Elephas maximus indicus: one gene and its partners. The protein of the gene in region 2 purifies or fractionates together with the protein of the main gene of each other region. This does not show direct contact. Links are inferred from orthologs where the notes say so. Each region holds a gene or a part of one and is shown on either strand. Other genes may lie near its edges.

Region 1 (7,189 bases), on a different chromosome or scaffold from region 2:
CTTAATGAACAGCTTCAAGCAAGAGGACTCAGCTCTTTGAGCCTCAGTTTCCTGCCCTGTAAAACGGAGATCATAACAGTATTAGCCTCATGGGGCTTAAATGAAATTCAGCATGGAACTCGAAGGCACTTAACTCTTATTAGCTTTTGCTGTTGTTCTGAGAGGAACCAGCCCAGTGAAGAGCAGCCCGGTCAGGCACTGCGCTAAGTAAGCACTTCCAACACACCATGTCACTGCATCCTTGCAACAGCCTTGTTGAGGGTCCAGGGCCCCATTTTTAGGAGGGGAAACCGAGGCCCAGAGAGGTCAAACAATCTGCACAAGGTCACAAAGCAAATGAAACAGAGAGAGCTTCACAGAGGCCCACCAGAGGCTGGAAAGGCAGGAAGACGGCCAGAGGGGCTCACAGCCCAGCCTGGTTGAGCCCAAGTTCAGAGGCATATTGACAGAAAACAGCACCTAAGGCAAGCACTGAGATTGTACAATCTCTAAATTGCGCCCTGCCCCCCATTTGAGTGCCCACGGGCAATCTCTAAATTGCACTGCCCCCAGCCCCGACAATTTCAAAATGAACGGATGATGATAGCGGCAACAGGTCTTGTCCAGCTGCCTCAGTCACTTGCCTTTCATATTTGTAGCACCTGGGAAGATCATTTCCTACCTCATCTGGTTCCCCCCGGGCTTGTGCCTAGAGCAGGTATACCCCCACTCCCACCACACACACATACCCACCTGCCTCTGTGTCTATGGTGCTTGAGGCAGGACACTGAGGCAGGACATTGTGTCATGCCAGGTTAATGGAAACCCTGGTGGCATAGTGATTAAGAGCTACAGCTGCTAACCAACAGGTCAGCAGTTCGAATCCACCAGGCACTCCTTGGAAACTCTATAGGGCAGTTCTACTCTGTCCTACAGGGTCCCTATGAGTCAGAATCGACTCAAGGGCAACGGGTTGGTTTTTTTGGTCATTGGCGCTTCCCCTTCAAGTGGAGTGGTACCCAGGGCATATGCCATGCCTACCATACCTTAGATCCACCTCTGCCCAAGCCCACACCTTTCCGCTACACTGGACAGAGGCCAACCCACCAGGGACACAGCAGCACAGAAGGAAATTCATGCGCTGGGATCACAACCCCAGGCCTCTGGGAAGGCAACAGCAGGTCTGGGTGTCCAGCCAGGCTCTGTTGCATACCAGCCCAGTGGCCTTGGGCAAGCGGTGAGTCCTTTCTGAACCTCCCTGCTCATTTCTAAGGTTAGGATGGTAACGAAATCACCCCATGCTCATTGTGGAATGCAACACACGGAACAAGGAAAGAACTCAGCTGGGGCCTGCTCAGTGAACGCTACCCCTTCACACTGATTAACAATAACAAGGACGATGATGTTACCATTGGCAGCCACACAGCCACAAATGGAGTCCCTTCCGGGAATAGCGAAGTGACCAGGAAGGTGGAAGGACAAGAGATGTGGGAGGGAGAGAGAAGAATCAACAGTCCTCAGTGGTTGTAGGGCCTGGTCTCATTCATTAGTTTCCTGAACACTGGAAACAGCCCAGAGAGTGGAATTTGCACACTGCACGGATGGGCAAACAGGCCTCTCCAGAACGGTCCAGAAAAGACTGTATCTCAGCTCTTATCACTGAGGGCTGATGAGGCAAAAAGCCCCTTCCCAGGCTCCAAGGAGTGCTCCCCAATTTGCAGGCTTTAACTTGGGGGCTGGCCCATGATCCAGGGCCCCAGAGCATCCTAACATGGCCCAGGAAAGAATTCCGGGGAAAGTTCCCCAGGTCGTACTTCCAACAGAGAGTTGAACAGATTCAAGCCTCATCCTTTCGCTCTCTTCTCCCCTACTCCTTTTCCCCACCCCCTGCCAGAAGGGTTAGGCCAGACAGATGAAAAGCTAGGAGCTGCTGGGACTGTCATGGTAGACTAGGAGATGGACAGACATTGGATCCACCAGTACAGACAGACAGAAGGATCTGTTTGGAAGAGAGAAGCCAGGGTCCACCAGGGACCCAAATGAAGTGTCATCCCAGGAGAGCAAAACAACAGGGTCCTCCTTGGGTCCAGACAGCCAGTTAGATGGAGGAGACCAGCTAGGGTAACTCGACAGAGGGACGGGTAAGTGCTAACGTCTGTGAGGGGAACGGATAGGCAGCCAGACAGCAGAGGTCATCCTGAACAGCTAGCCAATCAGCAGGGGGCTGCCCGTGGGACTGGACAGATGGACAGCCAAATGGTGGTAGGGAGGTCTCTCCAGGCCAGACACAGCCAGCCAGAACGAGCTGCCCCTGATAAATGGCCAGCCGACTGCAGGGATCACCCCAATAGTTACCGAGGTGGCGCGTTCGCCCCTGGTAAACGGACAGACAGACGGAGTAGAGGGGGACCTACCCCAACCCAAAGGCAACCAGATGGCAGAGTTTACCCGCGAAGGCTGGGAACGTGACACACCGCAGGGGTCAATGGCGCCTCCTGCTCCACGCCCCCCAGACTGTAGGAACGCCCCTGGGGCCTGGGCCGGCTCCCCATTGCCTGTAGGGAGCCCTCTACCCAGAGCGCCCCACAGGGCCCGCCTCCCAGTCCCTGTCCCCGTCGCCGGCACGCAAGCGCCGCAGTTACGCCGGCGGCGCAAGGCGCGCCATTCCCGGGCCGCCCTCCGCGCCCTAGGCCACCGCCCGCCCGCCGTTCCCGCGGCGCTCGCTCACCGGCCCACGAAGTTCTCGAGCACCGAGCTCTTGCCAGCGCTCTGGCCGCCCACTACGGCGATCTGCGGCAGGTCCAGGTGGCAGCTCTGGCCGATGGAGCTGAAGGCGTCCTGCAGCTTGTTGACCAGTGGGATCAGCTCTTCCATCCCGCGGTTGCCCATGGCGCCGGCCGCCCCGGCCCGAGCGCCCCGCGCTCCCCGCCCGCCCCCGACTCAACGACGCGCCCCGCGGCGTCCGCGGCCGTTGCTCCCCGCCCGCCTGGGCCTCGGCGCTCCGCTCGGCTCCCGGCTCGGCCTCACTGTCGCCGCCTCATCCGGTTCTCAGGCAACACCCGACCTGAGCGACCTCCCGCCGGGGCCCCCGGGCTGGGCTTAAAACCATCGCGCCGCTCTTGATTGGTCAACCTGGCTGCCACTCGGGTACTCGAGCCAATGGAAGCGAGGCACGAGTTTACGGCTGAATAAGCCTTCCCCTAGGGAGCTTCTCGTGGACTCATTGGAAGGAAGAACTGTCGTTGTTATGCAAGAACCAATAGCGGCCGGAGCCAAGTTGTCAAGGCCGGGAGGCGGTGTTTCAGGAAAAGGTATGTTGGTCCCGCCCCTTGAAGAGGCATTCTGCCACTTTATTGGTAGAAAAACCCGCCAGTCCGGAAAGCCACCAATGATGTTAGGGCTCGATCCTTAGACACTGGTTTTCCCTAAAAATTTCCCATTGGCTTATATAAATATCACTCCGTTCCTCCAGCCAACAGATCAGAAGAGGGCAGGCTTTACATCTGAATTCTGATTCTGATTGAGAACTGTATCTGTCAATCAAAGTAACTCGTTCTTAACTTGTGATTGTTGGCCGCCTGTTGGGAGACTTCTGGAGTACAGGGTAGCGCTCGCCAAAGGGCGACACCTAGTGGTACGACCCGTCACTCTTCTGAGTTTCAGAGCTCTAGAGAAAAAGGCCTTCCACGAGATGGACTGACACATTGGCTGCAACAATGGGTTCGAACATAGCAACGATTGTGAGGATGGCGCAGGGCAGGGTAGTGTTTCTGTTATACATAAGGTGACTACGAGTCATAACTGAATCCACGGCCCCTAACAACAGGAAAAACTACAAGTCCCAGAATGCATCTCGGCTGCCGGCAGGCAAACCCGCTCTCGTCGCGGTTCGCTACGCACTTTGAAGAGAAGTTGGAGCCGGGCGATGTTGGTGCTCCCTAGCGAGAGACGGTCCATTCCTATAATGTCAAGCTCCATGCCTTTGCAAATAACTGTGCCCTCCCCTAGGAGTATCTTCCGCTGACGCCCCGCGTTGATGCAGCTACCTCTTCAACGTTGTTCCCTGCCTCTTCAACTTTAGTGCATCATGGGTCGTTTAGAAACCCAATGAAACACAACCGGGTCCACTCCCCACGAAGACACGCTATTCTGCAGGCAGAGTTGGAGTGTGGGAACTAGTATTCTTGACCTCTTGGAACAGATGCCGGAGATAGGTGGACGGATTTTAATAAGTTATTCGATCCCTCTGGGCACAGATGGGCCAGAGAATAGGGAACCAAGTGAGGAGGCAGGAGCATTGAAGGGGGAGAGGCAGCAGTAACCAGGGAAATGGAGAACCACTGTGGAAGATGGCAGAGCATGAACCAAAATCCCAGCGCTCAGAAAGACGGCAAAAAGGCCACCAACAAGGTTAGCCAACCTTGACCAGGATCACAGCAACCTGGAAACACCCTAGCTGTCCTTCCAGAAGGGCTGGTTAAATAAGTGCAATAGGGCCGCAGCTGCCATAAAGGAGAATGAGGAAGCTCTCCATGTACTTAGGTGTAAACCAATTTCTCAGATATACTACGAAGAAAAAAAAAAAAAGCAATACAGAAATGTATGTAAAGGACACTAACATTTATGAGAAAATAGGTGTACATGGAAAATTTCTGGAGGAATACACAAACCAATAAAAACTGTTGCACTTTTTGTGCTATTTGAATTGTTGATCATACACATGTATTATTTTTTCAATAACAAACCTTATTTTCTAAGAACGCTGGCTTTGTAATTGGTCATATCTAGGTTAGAATCCTGGGCCTGTTTATTTGCTGAGTGATAATGACTTCATTGCTCTGATCCTCAGTTTCCTCTTCTGTAAAATGAGGAATACAACTCTACGTGCGTCATAAAGTTGCAAGAATTAAATACACATGACTAGCATCAAAAACAGTGCCAAACACAGTGTAAGCTCCAACTAGGCCACACCTATTACCATCACTGTTGACTGAGAGCGAGATTAAGTCAAGTGTATGCAGTCAGGTCCCTAAAGATCAGCGCTTTGAACCCACCAGCTGCTCTGAGGGAGATGTGGCAGTCGGCTTCCGTAAAGATTTGCAGTCTTGGAAACCCTATGGGCCAGTTCTACCCTGTCCTGTAGGGTCACTATGAGTCATAATCAACCACAGCAACGAATCTGGTTTTGTTTTTCACTAACCTAAAGGTTGGTGGTTTGAACCTACCCAGCAGTGCTGTGGAAGAAAGGCCTAGCAATCTGTTTCCATAAAGATTAAAGACAAGAAAATCCTACGGAGCAGCTTTACTCTGTCACATGGGGTCGCTATGAGGCAGGGGTGACTTAACGGAGGGTATGCAGTCATGGAGGTAACAGAGGGGAGGCTGAGAGCGTGAACTGCCTGAGTTCAAATCCTGAGTCTGCCACTCCCTCAGTGGGTGATCCTGAGCGAGCTCCTTTTCCTTTCTGGGCCTCAGTTTTCTCACCTGTGAAAAAGGGAAGAACAAGAGTACCCACCACCAGGGTGGCTGAGGGGCCTGGGCCACAGCTTCCATCTTGGGTACATCCTACACACTGGGCTGTGCCAGGTGCTTTCCAGATACCAGGAGCTGCTGTGGTTACTTGTTATCAGTGTGAGGGGAGAATGTCTGTCACAGTGAAGCTCAGACCAGGAAGGAGACCAAGACTGGATTCCTCCCCAAGAAGACACAGAGTCATGATGTTAGAATGAAAAAACCAAACCTTCAATATCTTCCAGTCCCTCCCTCTTCCCCCAATGCCGGAAGCCCCCTGGCCAGCTCAGCCCAGTGTGATTCCCACAGAGGCCAGGGCTTCGGTGGCCCAGGTGGGGTAGAGGGTGGGGTCCCCGTACATAGTGTCCATGAAGTTACGCACGAAGTCGGGGAAGCGCTTCTCCACGATGCTGGCTCGCACAGCACTCATCAGCTGCAGCTGCAGGGAGGGGGCGACATCGTGAGCCAAGGGAGGCCCAAAACCCTGCCTATTCCCTCACCCACCCAGCCACAGGCCCACCTGGTAGGCAATGTTGTGGACAGTGAGGTGGTGCAGGGCGGCGGTGTTGTCACTGTGGAGCAGTGCATGCAGGAAGGCCCGGCTGTGCCTGTGGTCCAGGGGGTCGGGGTCAGCAATGCTGGGTCCTGCCGCTCCCCCCACCTTCCCTCAACCCCTAGGCCTCGCCTACTTCTGGCAGGTGGGGCAGGTGCACTCAGGGTTGATGGGACCAAAATCCTTCTCATACTGCTTCTTCTTTAGCTGCAGATTCCCAGTGGGCACCAGGGCAGAGCCAAAGCGCTAGGGGAGGAGAGAGGCAGGGGAGGAGGGTCACCCAAGTCTTCACCCTCCCCGCCCCCACCCCCAGCTCCGCCCTTGCCTGCCCCTGCCCAGGGCCTCACCGCCGTCCGTGTGGGGAAGACACAGTCGAACATGTCACATCCGAGAGCCACGCAGACCACCAGATCGGTGGCATAGCTGGGGGTGAGGCCATGGGGGGAGGGGAGCAGTGAACCTCAAACCCTTGGCCTGGGCTTCCTCCCCACCCTCAGGTTTCCTGGGCCTAGGCCATAGTCCCTCAGAACCACCCGAGGGGAGGGCTGGATCCTGCTTAATCCTCCCTCTCCCCAACCCCCACTCCCACATGTGGGGCCCTGTCTCCCCTCTCCCCTACATACCCAACCCCCATCAGGTATCTGGGCTTGTCCTTAGGCAGTCGCGAGGTGCTCAGCGCCACCATCCTCCAGAACTGGCCCTTGCTCTCGCCCCCGCTCAGGCCCCCGATGGCAAAGCCTGGCACGTCCCTCTTGGTCATCTCTGGGGGCACAGGGCAGGATGAGGGGTGGCCAGGCAAGGGAAAATTACTTCCCATCCCTAAGCAGACCCTCAGGAAGGGAGAGAAAGTGCGTGAGCGTGTGTATGTATATGGATGGGGGGCTGCTGGGGACCTTAGCTACCATTTATCGAACGCCTGCTGCACGTAAGACCCTCTCCTTCAATCCTCAGGAGTGGGACATGGGCCCACACTTGCTTACCTAAGACCTTTAGAGCCAGATTTGTTTCAGAAGTTTCTAGATTTTAGAACAGTGAGCATCCTATATGCTGGGTAACAGCCAGTCATGAAATGCTGTACCATGTCTACAGCAAAATGGGTGAAGACTTGAAATGTGTGAGACAAATAACAACACAGGTCTGGTTTTG
Region 2 (7,641 bases):
TTTCCTGAGCTGGGTATAAGAAGGAACTATTTAATACTAAACCGAAATGGTGCTGAGAAACTTTTTAGAAGTACGCTGAATAAATGTTAAGGATGCCTTAGCAGAAAGCCACCCATACTTGCGAATTTCACAGCAGATAATTCGGTAATAATACCATGCATTAACTGACTTTAGAATCAACACAAGAACGAACCTTGAAAATATTCAAGCCTTATCCCTGGCAATAAGTATGCAAGTCTCCACTTGTGATCTATTTTAAGTGTTTTTATCATTTAAATAAATTCCCCAAAGCAAATATCACACAGAAGTATCTACAATTTGAAAAATCAATTTTTGCTTATTTTAGCCAAATGGTGAAAAAGGACTGGGACGTTGAGAATTAAAATGAATTTGAAGATTTGGTATACATCATGCTGAAAGAAAGGGTTTCCAACGGAAGTAGAGGTAAACGACTTTAGTGGCTCTGGAGACTTCCTATGTTACAGTCTCCAGGCAGTCAGAAGATAAAAATCTAAGCCTGGTCCACTTAACGCTTTTCCAGAACCAGAGCCACTCCAAGTCTTACACTGTGCCCTAAAAACGAATATCCACCCTAAGTTTTTAGGAGATCTTACATGGTGATTCAAGAATCATGACTGATCAAGTTCAATCACGATTTGAGAAGAGAAAAAGTAGCATAAGTTCAATCAGTGCTGGATGAGAAGAGGGATGTGAGGAGGGTCTCCGAAGATAAGCAAGGCACCCAGAGAAGAAGGGAACCTGAAAAGACAGGAGACTGATGGAAACAAGAGGAGGGACAGGCTCTACTTTGGGCTGCACGACAAAATAAATAACTTGTACTTATTTGGACGAAGTATCTCTAAAGGTTATTATCTCAGCCGAAAATACACACAGTATGAACACTTGTATAATAGACATCTTACCACATTTTCTGAGTCAGAATGTTCTTGGCTTATTGCAAAAGGTATCTGTTGCACTGCACAGACCCCATTCCCAGGTCAGACTTTGGCTATTCTCCACGGAGCACAAAGCACGCCATTCCAGTCTCGCATCTGTGAACCCTTTTTTTTTTGGTCACAATTAGTGACACGTGTTTCAAGTTAACGTGTAAAATCAGGGAACTTCAGAGATGGAAGGAGGCCCTAGAGATCTTTCCACTCAATATTTTAGGAAAAAATAGGTCCTGCAGGATAAACTAACCTGCTCTCCGCTCCCCACCTTGAATCTATTCATGCCGGGAGAGTAATAAATGCAGCACTAGCTCTGAGAAATCACTGACTGGTGGTGCAATGGTTAAGAACACAGCTGCTAACTGAAAGGTTGACGGTTCAAACCCAGCCAGCTGCTCTGTGAGACAAAAGACCTGTCAATCTTCTCCCGTAAATATCACAGCCTAGAAAACCCTATGGGGCAGTTCTACTCTGTCACACGGGGTCACTATGAGTGGAAATCAACGCAACGGCACCTAACAACAACAAGCTGTTGGGTACTTCAATCTTACAAAATACTACTACAGATTAAACAATCCTACTTTCCCCCTGTAACTCATCTATGTAAATGACAGGAGCTAAACTATGCTCGAACTCTAAATATTAGTGTTACCAGCAATCTGGTGGCTTGCCAGATACTACAGCATTACTAATTACAAAAAGAAAATATTTCAACAAAAGATGCCTGCAGGAGAAAGATAATGGTAATTTGTTTCTGAAAAGATTACAGCCTCGGACACCCTCGGGGCTGTTCTACTCTGTCCTATAAAGTAGCTGGGAGTCAGAATTGACTCGAGGGCACACAACCAAAACCAAGACCAGTCAAGACCCTGAGTGGTACACACGGTTAAGAGCTTGACTACTAACCTAAAGGCTGGCAGTTCAAACCCTCCCTGTGGTGCTGCAGAAGAAACGTCTGGTGATTTGCTTCAGTAAAAGATGAGTCAGCTCAACAGCAACAGGTTAGTGGTTAAAGGTAAGTTACCAATATTACAGGACAGGACTGCCTTCATTATTCTATAAATGAGACAGGCAATAAGGGATAATGCAATTGAATTTAAAGCTGAGCTTTAAACACCAAGCATTCTCCATATCTCCTAATTTGTGGCATATCTGGCCAATTTGTAACCCCAATATGCCTTTATTCAAATCATCCTTTATTCATCATCAGTGAGAATGACAGAACCGTCACTCCTTTCAAGAGAAATGCTTTGAGAAATTGATGCCTGGTGGACATCAGTACCTGCTACCGGAATAAAGGAGTTTGTGAGTAACTAAAAATCCACCCTAACCAAACCTGCATCTCCAACCAAACAGGTCTCCCTCTTGCTTCGGAAACCATCCATCCCTGCCTCCCTGGCCCTGACTCACGGACTCCTATACCGACTGGATGTGTGACTTTGGGCAGGGAAGATGAATTTCTTCATCTGTAAAATAAGAAGGTTGGGCTAATGCTGAATTTCAGCTCTCAAATTCTCAAATTCGCCTCACTGCCTGAATGGCAGGGTGGTGCAGTGAAAAGAGCCCTGGGCTTGACACCAAAAAAGTCCATGCTCGCATCCCTCTGACTGGGGCCACCCAGCCTCTCCAGCTAGGGGGCCTCCCAGGGTCTCGACCTGATCCGGGACGAGAGTGGTTAATCCGAGAAGGGACTCCCGGGCACTCCCGGCCGAGCGCAGCGGCTGCCTTGGGGAAGAGGCCGGTGCAGGCCCGGTCGCGCGGCGCGTCCGCCGGAGCGCGGGAGCCCTCGGCCCGCGGCCCCCGCACAGCAGCTCCGGGCTCCCCGCCCAGCCCTGGCCCTGCTCCTGACCTGCTCTCCGCAGCCCGCCGGTCCCTCGGCGCGGTTGGCAGCCACGGCCGCCAGTCCCTGGCCCGCTGTCACCGCGGCCCCTGGAAGCCGCGGGCGGGTCAATCCGGTCTGACTCAGCGCAGCCGCCCCGCCTCCAGCCTCCCGCTCAGGCTTCCGCCTCGGCCGGCGCGGACCGCGCGGTCCCGGGACGCTCGCTCGGCTCCCTGCTCGCCGACCTCCCCGACGCCCGCCCGGCTCTCGCGCCCCCTGGCGGCCGACTCCCCGGCCCCGCCCGCCTCGGGACGTCAGAGGGGCGGTGCTCCGAGGACCTCCACTGGGGGAAACTGAGGCATTGGGTGCGGAGCTGCCGCGGAGAGCCCCGCCTGGGGCCCGCCCCCGGTGCATCTCCGCGGCTCCCAGCCGTGCCAAGCGGGCCGGGCTAGTGCAGCCTTGGCGCCCGCTGCCTGCCGGGCGCCCTCTGCCTACGTGCTGCCCTGGTTCATACCAAGTCCCTATACTGCTCTCGTCTCCCACACCGCCCTCCAACTCAGAAAAAAGTCAGAATTCAATCTAGAGAAGTTCAGCTCTATTTCTGTCTGTTTGTGGTGGTGTCCTCCTTGCTACCCCGAGGCAATTTCCTTTATCATGTCATACAACAACTCATTTGTTTCTGTTTGTCCCGTTTCTTTTGAGCAAAGTCTCTCAGGACATCTTTGAGAATTTAAAAGCAAAGAATGACAGAAGGCAAGAACTAGGCGGGGCTTAGAGAACACTTCTAAGTCACTCTTGAATCCCTGCAATATTCTCTTTGTGTATTAAAGGTCACGCTGCTTAGCTATGTCGCTTGAATTTCTGTACTTCACCTACGAGATTATGAAGAATGAAGTAAATCTATCGCTATGCGTGCATAACAGAGATAAATCTTATTTCAAAAATTCCATCGGAATACATCCTTTTTCCCTTCTTTTCCTCTGCTTCCTGATGCCTGTGAACACTGTTGGCAGAATACCAAAGTCCTGGGTTTTTGACAAAATTCTTAGCAAATGATTCATTTGCCTCTGAAACAGTGCCTGGTCTCCCCTCAAGAGTAAATTATTAGTATTGCAAATCTAATGCCTTTACTTTTGAAGATACAGTTACTACTAGTTAACTACAATTTTGTTTGCTGTGGTTGCGCTTTGCTAGTGTTTTTTGGATGAAGAATCAAGCATGCCATATAGGAAAGCAAGATGAGCTAAAAACCGATGTAGATGTAAAAAAAAAAAAATTCATGTTAAAAAGAAAAATTTCAGGATTCCTTAACATAGATTAAAATTAATCTGAACTTTTTCTTTCTATCACCTGAGTCAGCTTCAAAATGATCTACTTACTGAATCTGAATCTTTTAAAAAAAAAAATTATAGTATTTTAGGTGAAAGTTACACACAGCAATTAGTTAACACGAGGTCATTCTGGAATAGGGTGGGCCCTAATTCAATATGATTGGTGTCCTTATAAAAAGAAGAGACTGACACGCAGAGGGAAGATGGCCATGATAAGACAGAAGCAGAGGCTGGAGTTATTCTGCCACAAGCCAAGGAACACCTGTGGCTACCAGATGCTGAAAGAGATGAAAAGTGTTCTCCCAGAGCCTTCGGAGAGAGCATGGCCCAGCTGACACCCTGAAGTTGGACTTTAGGCCCTCTAAAACTGTGGGAAAATAAATTTCTGTTATTTTTAGCCACTCAGCTTGTGGCAATTTGTTACAGCCCCCCTAGGAGACTGATACAGTGAGCAAGAGAGCAAGTGCTATGAGATGAGATTGGAAAACAGACAGAGGTCAAGACTGTTCAGGGCCTGGTGAGGCCTGATAAGGAGAATGAATTCCATGCTGAGTCAGTGAATTGATACACTATAAAATATCCTCAATCAAAAGGACGGAAATGAAAATGATCAAGAGATAAATATGTCTGGAACTGCGTTATTAGTAATCTACACACATGTGTAATATTAAGACTAAAAAGAATCCCACCCCCCATAATCCTTAACTAACCAAAACACAGATCAACCTCTGTGCATGGAGATTGATCTCGTTAATTACAACCATTTGAGTGTGTCATCCTTCAATCTCATGTCTTAACCTAAATCCAATCTGTCAAGACACCCTGCCTCTAAAAGTTTCCATCATTGTCACAACGGACTGCATCACTAACAGCCTGGCATGTTTAGGCTCCAAATCAAAGTAAACTCCCCATAGCTCCCCTCTGGAATGTTCCATGCCACAGCCACAAGCTGCTGTTAGCAATGGCAAGCTGGTGAGAGAGAGTAGCAAGCTGCTAAAACGAATCAAAGTTAGGCTTGCTCATGGTACAAACTGTCAATCCTGAAATAGCCACAGGCTTGGCTCTGGAAGAAGCGCAGATAAAGTAATGCATCCTTGCTTCTATTACTGAAGAAGACATGGTCCAACAATTTAGCGGTAGAATATAGAAGGCATCCTAAGAAGGAAGGGGTACAGCATGGAAATACTATTTGCTGTTGGTTAAAATAGTGCCAAAACGTACCTAGGAGTCTCAGGACAGAGGTTCAGGAAGGAGAGGATTAAAGGTGGACCCAGATGGGTATATGGCGGGGGGAGGGGGTGTTCAGGAGAGTTTGGAGGGAGGGTGTCTGTCTGGTGGACTTGGGCTAGGGCACAGGTGACTTCTGGAAGAAGACGCTGGAGGCCATTTAGTTCCTGTTAGGAACAGACCCTGGCTGGCAAGAGTAAGGCCAATTCCTGTTGTTTCCCATACTTTAGTCCTTCTTGTACCACTTTTATGGTTTTTGCCATAGTCTTGTACTCTCAGATAACCATCATAATGCTTCTTGACTAAACGTCATACCACTTTTTTAATTTTTTGTTTAAGGTTTTTATTTAAATTGACTCGTTTTGTTTTTAAGGGGCTGCCTGGGTGGTACAAACATTTAAGCACTAGCCTACTAGTGGAAAGGTTGGTGGTTGGAATCCACTCAGAGTTACCTTGGAAGGAAAGCCAGGCATTCTACTTCCAAAAAGTCTGCAGCCATTGAAAAACCCTGTGGAGTGCAGTTATATTCTGAAACATGTGGGATCGCCGTAAATTGGAACAGGCTAAATACCAACTGGTTGGTTGTTTTTAAAAGGAAATTTTGTATCACACCCATAAACGAAAACCCAGGATAGATTGCAATTCATAAAAACCAAAAGCCAAAGCCATTGCCATCAAGTTGATTCTGATTCATAGCAATCCTAAAGGACAGAGTAGAACTGCGCCATAGAGTTTCCAAGGCTGTAACTCTTTAGGAAAGCAGACTGCTACATCTTTCTCCTGTGGAGTGGCTGATTGGTTCAAGCCGCTGACCTTTTGTTTGGCAGTCGAGCACTTTAACCGCTGCACCACCATAGGAGGTAACTTTTAAAATAAATACAACAGAAACAAAACTGTATTATTAAATTTCAGTTCTGAGACCGAGGCCTACTCTATTTGTTAAAGAATGAAATTTGCCAGCATGATGGTTAATGTTATGTATCAGCTTGGGTAGGCCATGATTCTCGGTGGTTTGGCAGACATTATGTAATCATCCTCCATTTTGTGATCTGATGTGAGCAGCCAAACTGTTGGAACGGGAGTTTAGTTTCCTTGGGGGTATGGCCTGCATCCAGTACAGATGGATGCTCTGACAAAGCTCACGCTCTTTCTGGATCTCTGGTTCTTAGGATGTGAGATCCCTTCAGCCTACTGCCTGACCTGCAGATTTTGGATTCTCTAGTTTGCTGCAGCCCTGTGAGCAAGCAGCCTGCCGCCTGACCTATAAGTTTTACATTCATCAGCCCCTGCAAACATGTGAGTCAGGAGAATTCTGCAGCCTGTTGCCTAACCCACAGATTTGGGACTTGCCAGCCTCCACAACTGTGCGAGCCATTTCCTTGAAATAAATCTCTCTATATATTTCTTTATTCATTTCACTGGTTTTGCTCCCCTAGAGAACCCAGCCTAAGGCAGCCAGTGTTAGAAAGTTAGGACCAAATGCAAACTTTCCCCTTGATCTGTTTAGAAGGATCTAAAGAAGCTGATGAGAGAATAACTTTTTCACTAAGTGATTTATTGTCCAGTCACTGCATCGCCCCAAATTGGCTCCTGTACACCTGAATTGTCTTGAGGGACAGCTTGAGTACCATTGTGATTCTGGACCTGTATTTTGGAAAAACTTGATTTGTCCATGATAACAGAGCCTGTAAAGCATAAAGCCAAGATCCAAACCCCCATCTATGAGGTTTCAAAGTCTATGCTCTTTCCACTGTGCAATGCAGGCTCCCCACTCACCTAGTTTCGCAGCTTTGCTCAGAATAGGTCATGTTTGCCTTCCTCTAACACTATTTTGTCTTGCAGCATTCAAGAAGCATAGGGATGCTGTGACCTTCAAGGTCCCTCCTGAAAATGTGCCAAGAACTGTATGCCACACTCCTGAGGAAGCTGGACTCCTGTGGGGCCTGGCGGGACTGTGCTTCTTTCGATGTGATGTTGGGCCTCCCTACACAGCTTTGGAGTGCATTACTTGTATAAGCAGCTGGGCCACAATGCTGTCTCTTGTTAAACTTGTGGCCAAGTTCATGACCCCCACCCCCAGAGGACAGTTTGATATAAGTGTACTGTGCATTACAGAAATGAGTCATCTGACTTCATACCACACTAAGTCACATCTACATTTAGGCAAGCAATGCAGAGAGCTGAATGATAACACAGATTTTGATTCTTTGGCTTCTGACAGCGCTGATCTCCATCACTTTATACAGTACTGTAAAAAGTTATATTGTTGTCACTGGATGCTGTTGAGTCGTTTTTGACTCATCATGAACCCCAC
Region 3 (7,844 bases), on a different chromosome or scaffold from region 2:
GTGTGTGGAAGAAAGCCCCAATGATCTGCTTCTGTAAAGACTGCAGCCAAGAGAACCACATGGAGCGGTTCCACTCTGTAATACATGGGGTTGCCACGAGTCAGAATCGACTCAATCACAATGGGTTTGGCTTTTTGTTGTTGTTGTTGTTGTTTAAGCCTGAAATCATCAGGTGTGTGGTTCTAGGGAAGGCTACAATACTTGGAGACAGCTAAACCAGATTAAGGTCACTCTTCTTAATTCTATTTAATTCCATAGTATGATAAGGACACATACACACAACACACACAGAGAGAGAAACACTTGGATTAGGGTCAAGAAGTGAATCAATGATCTAAAATGTGACTATCAAATGCCTTCTTCTCAGTAGGGCTGACCACTGAGCTACCTTGCTGAACAAAAATGGAAGGATAGTAGATGTCTGGATAGGTAGATAGAGCAGGAGGGCAGCACGCATCCACTAAATAAACAGGGGGTGGGTGGGCTGCCCGCACAGAGGAAGCAAAGAACAAAGACCTCTCACTCTTCATGCAAAGTCCACAGTGTGCAAAGGGCATCAATATTGGACATTTCTCAGTGTGACATTTTGAAAGCCCAGCATAGCCCAGAACAATGGTTACCCTCTGGGAACTATGGGCTATATTCAGTGATAGCTGGCATATCCCATGTGCTTGGTGAACCTGACCTTGGGCATCAGCCTCCCATGATGGCTCTACGTCACTCTGGTCTCTTCCCCCACTGAGAATTCCAATCTTAAATGAATGGATGGATTCATTCTGGGAGCAGGAAAACCACTCTGGGAGTGAATCAGAAGGACCCAGCTCTGGTCCCTTTGCCAGCCATTGAGCCAGGAACTGAGTGCAATTGTGTGCCAAGGCGCCGGTGCTGTTCCTCTGTCAGGGAGAGAGGGTCAGGGTCCACGCAACAGATGACGTAGAAGCCCTCTTAGGAGGAAGAGAAAGGAATCTCAGCTTTGAGGGGACAAAGCCACCCTTTTGGTTGTGACCCTCAGTCCAAGAAGATGCCAAGATGTGCAGTGTACTGGTAAATTAGTTCTACTGGATGAAAATCTCAGTTCCTGCTGTACAGTCAGTAGTCAATTTCAACTGTCTCCACCCTGTTAGACTTTAGGAAATGGGCTAATAGTTTTTCAGAAAAGAAACTTTCTGCAACGCAGGTGAAAACTTGCCTCAGATCACCCAGAGAACCATTTACCTTTAGTGGTCTCTGCTCCATCTTCTCCCAATTTGTGCTGATTTTTAAAAACTGTAAATGGCAATCTAAGCACTAGAACGTATCTGTACTTTCTGCTTTTTTACTTTGCAAAAATCAGGCAAGAGAACTGCAGGGATTCAAGATGTAGCAGGCAAGAGTATATCTACACTGTAAGGTTGGAGAACCAGACTGACACTTTAAAGAAGCAATTCCTCTAGGAGATGGAACTGAAGAACTGCCAATTTGTCCATCACTAACTAGGTTGTAACAAGATGGGAAAGTTAGCTTTTTAAGGCTCCAGCCCCCATCAGCCTCCTAGAGCAAAATGTGGAGGGAAAGGAGCAGCTCCTCCCGGGGCTTATTAGGACATGGCTCCAGGCTTCCCTCCACGTGCTGGCACTGACTGTCTGACATTTGTCTATCAATCTTAGTCTGAGAAGCAAGGGAGGGGAGCAGCAATAGTTTAAATTTTACTTTAGAGAGCTGGCCTTGACACTGACTGACACATCAGCTGGTTGTGGCCAGAGCTTATTCTCCACTGATCACCAAATGTTAGCCTGCAAAAGCCTTCCTCCAGAATATTCTACTATCTTCACTCATTCTCAAGTAACTATTGTATATTTACTTTGTGTAAAGAATCAGGCTAGCCTCTGAGGACAAAGAGGCAAACATGGTTCCTACATTAATGGAACTAAGATTCTAAAAGGGTTGATTCATCTCGTACATCTCTGGGGATCAATGTATTCATACAAGCATATTGTAGTTAGATTCCCTGAGATCTGGTGCTGTGGCTATGCTATGTCAGTGCTTGGGCCTGAGGCAAGGTTCTTCGCATGGCTGGCCCAAGGAAGCCCCAGAGAGCAGGCAAGCCATGGTTGTACCTCCTTTGAACAGTAATAATTCAGAGCAACATATAGGAATTACCTTTTGGACAACTTGAGTCATAAAATAAACTAACCATTAGACATTATCAAGTGTCTATTATGTGCTAAGTATGAAATAGTTCTGCAACAACGTAGCTGTCAGCTCTAGAGTTGTGACTACTACGCTGAGACTCCCTTGCTTCTTTGCTCCAGACATGATAGCTCCCATAATGTTTAAGCTTAACTATGTCTATTTTGGAGGGAGAGAGGTAGGTAATGGTCCCAGAAATGATTCAAAATAGTTCAATCTCACGGGGGAGGGGGGGTGGGCGGGAACGGTAATCCTGGCTCCTCCCAAAAGAGAAGCAAGTTTTCTCTGTCTTGTGAAGGCTGTTAAGTGGTGGAAAGGCTGATAATCTGAAAGGGCATGGGTTTTGGTCAGTGAACGGGTCTCTGACGGCCCTATTGCCACAGCTCTGAGGCTGATGGGAGTGGCGGAGAGATAAGCAAAGGGGAGAAGGAAAAGACATTTACTCTACCCCAAAGGATACTTAAGAGAGGAGGGACCACGGAAGTCCCTTACTCCAAGGAGCTGGAAGAAGACGGGGCCAGCTTCTTGGAACAGGAGGAGTCAGGAAACAGAAGTCTGATGCGGGATTCCAGGATATGGAGGCTTCGGGTGAGCACCCGGAGGAAGGCCCCTTGAACGACTAACTACCCTAGAGCCGGGGCCAGTCGGGCCTTGGTCTAGGGCGGAGGGTCCGTGCAAGAAGAGCAGACGCCGGCGGGCAATGGGACTCAACTGACGCTGGGACAAGGCGCATCGCGAGTCTGGGGCTCCAGCACCCCCTTGCCTCCTGGACCTCACTCACCAGCTCATGGTCCCGAAGCTGGCCCTGCGAAGGCCGAAGCGCCGGCCACCGGGGTCCTCAGCCGCAACTCAGTTCTCTGGGATCACTTCCGGATTCAGCCAGTCTCCAGGAAGTGACGTTAACTTGCCCCCTCTGCCCGGAAGCGGCCCTAAAGGGGCGGGGCCCGGCGCGTTAACCGTTTGCTTCCCGAGGTATTTCTTTTGCGGGTGACCTTCATACTTTGGCCTAGGGGTTAGAGACGCTCCTGTGGGAGAGGGATGAAGACATCTGGGCCCATTTTCTGCCTTAAACACTGAGTTGTAGAATCTTTTTCTCTGTCCACACGTGCCGCTCAACCTGGTAATTACCTCAGTTTTTCTATCTTTAAAGTGATTTCTACTCAAAAGGCTCTTAACAGTAATTGTCCATAAGGGAAGGAGCACCAGTAATGGGTAAAGGGTGTGAGCGAGACTTACATTCACTGATATACTCTTTTGAATCTTATAAATTTTGTAACATGTACATGCATTACCTGTTTAAAACAAACAAACAAAAGGATCTTTTCCCTCCCTCAGGAGGTCACAGGGTTCTGAGCAGGTAGAGCTGAATATAAATAGCATAGGTGCTTTTCGGGGAAGGAGGAATGTTCTGTGAATTTACTCAACAAAAAGGTGCAGTCGATTCAACAAAGGGGTATGAAAAGGAAGAGGCTGCTCCTAGTCTTCCAGTCATTCCTTCTGTGCTCCTCACTACAGAATGATGTGAATGGTTCCATTCTTTCTACTCATTCCTTTAACAAATATTGAGCTTCTACAATGTATCAGGCACTGTGCTAACCTTCAAGGATTGCTGTTGTTGTTAGGTGCTGTCAAGACTGTTCCAACTCAGTGACCGTAAGTACGACAGAAGGAAACACTGCCCGGTCCTACACCATCCCCACAGTCATTGCTATGTTTGTTCCCATTGTTATAGCCAGTGTGTCGACCCATCTTATTGAGGGTCTTCCTCTTTTTCCCTGACCTTGCATTTTACCAAGCATGATGTTCTTCTCCAGGGGTCCCGCCTGATAACATGGCCAAAGTAATTGAGGTGAAGTCTCAGCATCCTCCTTTATAAGGAGCATTCTGGCTGTACTTCTTCCAAGACAGATTTGTTCATTATTCTGGCAGTCCATGGTATATTCAATATTCTTCACCAACACCACAATTCCAATGCATCAATTCTTTTTTGGTCTTCTTTATTCATTGTCCAGCTTTCACATGCATATGAGACAATTGAAAATACCATGGCTTGGGTCTGGTGCACCTTAGTCCTCAAAGTGACATCTCTCCTTTTGAATGCTAAAGAGGTCTTTTGCAGCAGATTTGCCGAACGCAATTATGTCCTTTGATTTCTTGACTGCTGCTTTCATGGGCATTGATTGTGGATCCAAGTAAAATGAAATCCTTTAGAACTTCAGTATTTTCTCCATTTATCATGATGTTGTTTATTGGTCCAGTTGTGGGGATTTTTGTCTTCTTATGTTGAGGTGTAATCCATACTGAAGGCTGTAGTCTTTGATCTTCATCAGTAAGTGCTTCAAGTCCTCTTCACTTTCAGCAAGCAAGGTTGTGTTGTCTGCATATCACAGGCTGTTAATATGTCTTCCTCCAATCCTGATGCCCCATTCGTCTTCATATAGTCCAGCTTCTCAGATGATTTGCTCAGCCTTCAGATTAGTATGGTGAAAGGGTACAACTTTGACACACACCTTTCTGATTTTAAACCATGCGGTAGCCCCTTGTTTTGTTCAAATGACTGCCTCTTGATCTATGTACAGGTTCCTCATGAGCACAATTAAGTGTTCTAGAATTCCCGTACTTCCCAATGTTATCCATAATTTGTTATGATCCACAAAGCCGAATGCCTTTGCATAGTCAATAAAACACAGGTAGACATCTTTCTGGTATTCTCTGCTTTCAGCCAAGATACACCTGACATCAGCAATGAAATTCCTCATTCCGCATCCTCTTCTGAATTTCCTTGAATTCTGGCAGTTCCCTGTCAATGCACTGCTGCAAGCGCTTCTGAAAGATTTTCAGAAAAATTTTACTTGCGTGTGATATTAATGATACTGTTCAATAGTTTCTGCATTCTGTTGTATCACCTTTCTCTGGAATGGGCACAAATATGGATCTCTTCCAGTCGGTTGGCCAGGTAGCCGTCTTCCAAATTACTTGGCATAGACAGATGAGCACTTCCAGTATTGCATTCATTTGTTGAAACATCTCAGTTGGTATTCTGTCAATTCCTGGGACCTTGTTTTTCGCCAGTGTCTTTAGTGCAGGTTGGACTTCTTCCTTCAATATCATCAGTTCTTGATCATATGCTACCTTCTGAAATGGTTGAACCAATTCTTTTTGGTGCAGTGACCCTGTGTATTCCTTTCATCTTCTTTTGATGCTACCTCTATCGTTCAATATTTTGCCCATAAAATCCTTCAATATTGCAATTCAAGACTTGAGTTTTCTTCAGTTTTTCAGCTTGAGAAATACCGAGTGTGTTCTTACCTTTTGTTTTTCTAACTGCAGGTCTTTGCACATTTCATTATAATACTTTACTTTGTCTTCTTGAACCATCACCCTTTGAAATGTTCCATTCAGCTCTTTTACTTTATCATTTCTTCCATTCACTTTAGCTACTCTATGTTCAAGAGCAAGTTTCAGAATCTCTTCTGACATCCATTTCGGTCTTTTCTTTCTTTCCTGTCCTTTTAATGACCATTTGCTTTCTTCATATATAACGTCATTGATGTTGTCCCGCAACTCGTCTGGTGTTCAGCGTTCAATGTGTCAAATCTATTCTTGAGATGGTTTCCAAATTCAGGTGGAATATACACAAGGTCCTACTTTGGCTTGCATGGACTTATTTTAATTTTCTTCAGCTTCAACTTAAACTTGCATATGTGCAGTTGATGGTCTCTTCCGCAGTTGGCCCCTGGCCTTGTTCTGATGATATTGAGCTTCTCCATCGGTCTCTTTCCACAGATGTGGTCAGTTTGATTCCTGTGTATTCCTTCCGTCACCAATTATCTTGCTGAAAAAGGGTATTTCCAATGAATAGGTCATTGGTCTTGCAAAGTGCTATCATGGCATCTCTGGTGGTGTTTCTATTGCCAAGGCCATGTTTTCCTACTACTGAACCTTATTCTTTGTTTCCAACTTTTACATTCCAATCACTTGTAATTATCTTATCCATGCATCTTGATCGCACGTTTGCTTAATTTCAAACTGCAGAAGTTGGTAAAATCTTCAATTTCCTCATTTTTGGCGTTAGTGGTTGGTATGTAAATTTGAATAATAGTTGTATTAACTCGTCTTTGTAGGCGTATGTATATTATCACTGAGAGCGTTGTACTTCAGGATAGGTCTTGAAATGTTCTTTTTGACAATCAATGCAATTCCATTCTTTTTCAATTTGTCATTCCCAGCACAGTAAACCATATGATTGTCTGATTCAAAATGGCCCGTAGCTGTCCATTTGAGCTCACTAATGCCTAGGATGGAAACCCTGGTGGCGTAGTGGTTAAGTGCTACGGCTGCTAACCAAGAAGTCAGTAGTTCGAATCCACCAGGCGCTCCTTTGAAACTCTATGGGGCAGTTCTACACTGTCCTGTAGGGTCGCTATGAGTTGAAATCGACTCAACGGCAGTGGGTAATGCCTAGGATATCTATCTTCAAGTATTCCATTTCATTTTGGGCAACTTCCAATTTTCCTTCCAGGATACAACCATTAAAAAAAAAACAAGGTTCCTGACCTCATGCCCTTACAGTGCTACTTACCTGCAGGGAGAGGTAAACGGGCAATTACAGTAATAATGTATGGTAGGAAAGAACAGGGTGCTATGGCACCTGCGTAAGGGTCCCTCCAATGCTCCTTATCCACAGCCACCACCTATTAGTGGGGACTTACGGGTTGCTATGATGTTGAACAGGTTTCAGCAGAGCTTCCAGACTACAAGTGACTAGGAATAAAAGCCTGGTGATCTATATCTGAAATTCAGCTAATGAAAGCCCTACAGATCACAATGGTCCTATCTGCAATCAATCATGGGGATGGCAAAGGACTGGGCAGCCTTTTCTTTCATTCAGGACTTTGAACCAGTTTGTTCCAGTTTGAACCCCTGTCAATAATGTGCATTTCTAACAAGTTACTAGCTGATGCTAATGCTGCTGATTAGGGACAAATTCTGAGAACCGCTAGTACAGCAGTTGTTCCCCAAATTTATTATACCTAACAATCACCTGGGGGATCTTGTTAAAATGTAGATTCTGATTCACTATCTGGGGTGGAAATACAGATTTTCAGCAGGGGTTCGATCCAGAACAAACCATTTCAAAGCCCTGGTTTCATTGTGCATGGAGTCACCATGAGTCAAGAGCTGACTCAATTCAATGGCAGCCAAGAACAACAACCTGCACATGGTGTTTTAGTGACTGCTTCCAGGAGGAGTCAATGTATTAAGCAAGTCCTGAGGCTAACCAGGTGAATCTCATGAGGGGTGGGAGTTGGGGTCCACGCAGAGGGAATGTAATCTTGGCTAAGAAGAGGACCGAGGTCCACGCAAGCAGCTGACTTGCAATAGGTTTTTCAAAGTCAGAATTCAGAGCCTTGGGCTCTCACAAGTCGTCTGGGGTCATGGACTGTGTTGACCTCCCCACTCCAAGTACCTTTCTGCCTTAGAAGTGAGAAGAGCAGGCAGTAAGGCCTGTGCAAGTAACTGCTGGGCCACTGAGGACCTTCTTTGTAGGAACTCTCCTCCTTCAAATGGACCACAAGTGTTTCAGGGGCTGCTTGGGAAATAGCTAGGCCACTGAATTAGAGTAGAAGACATATATGACCCCCCGTGATTTGTTCTGACCTTCCAGGGTGGGG

The links.
Region 1: the proteins of DNMBP (region 2) and DNM2 purify together in Homo sapiens (co-immunoprecipitation; 3 studies listed by BioGRID and IntAct, with this or other methods). This does not show direct contact. The link is inferred for Elephas maximus indicus from reciprocal best matches to the Homo sapiens genes DNMBP and DNM2.
Region 3: the proteins of DNMBP (region 2) and BIN3 purify together in Homo sapiens (co-immunoprecipitation; 5 studies listed by BioGRID and IntAct, counting the BioPlex papers as one, with this or other methods). This does not show direct contact. The link is inferred for Elephas maximus indicus from reciprocal best matches to the Homo sapiens genes DNMBP and BIN3.

Annotation. Positions count from the first base shown.
Region 1 is NC_064821.1:28,766,069-28,773,257, reverse strand, and holds the start of DNM2 (dynamin-2), read right to left. Parts: upstream 3,029-7,189; 5' UTR 2,869-3,028; coding exon 2,708-2,868; intron 1-2,707. Other genes in the region: QTRT1 (queuine tRNA-ribosyltransferase catalytic subunit 1), read right to left, coding at 5,777-5,929, 6,011-6,098, 6,180-6,289, 6,391-6,466, 6,667-6,805. UniProt on the Homo sapiens protein: Catalyzes the hydrolysis of GTP and utilizes this energy to mediate vesicle scission at plasma membrane during endocytosis and filament remodeling at many actin structures during organization of the actin cytoskeleton.
Region 2 is NC_064834.1:51,653,452-51,661,092, forward strand, and holds the start of DNMBP (dynamin-binding protein), read right to left. Parts: upstream 3,020-7,641; 5' UTR 2,800-3,019; intron 1-2,799. UniProt on the Homo sapiens protein: Plays a critical role as a guanine nucleotide exchange factor (GEF) for CDC42 in several intracellular processes associated with the actin and microtubule cytoskeleton.
Region 3 is NC_064840.1:51,994,939-52,002,782, reverse strand, and holds the start of BIN3 (bridging integrator 3), read right to left. Parts: upstream 3,047-7,844; 5' UTR 2,959-3,046; coding exon 2,951-2,958; intron 1-2,950. UniProt on the Homo sapiens protein: Involved in cytokinesis and septation where it has a role in the localization of F-actin.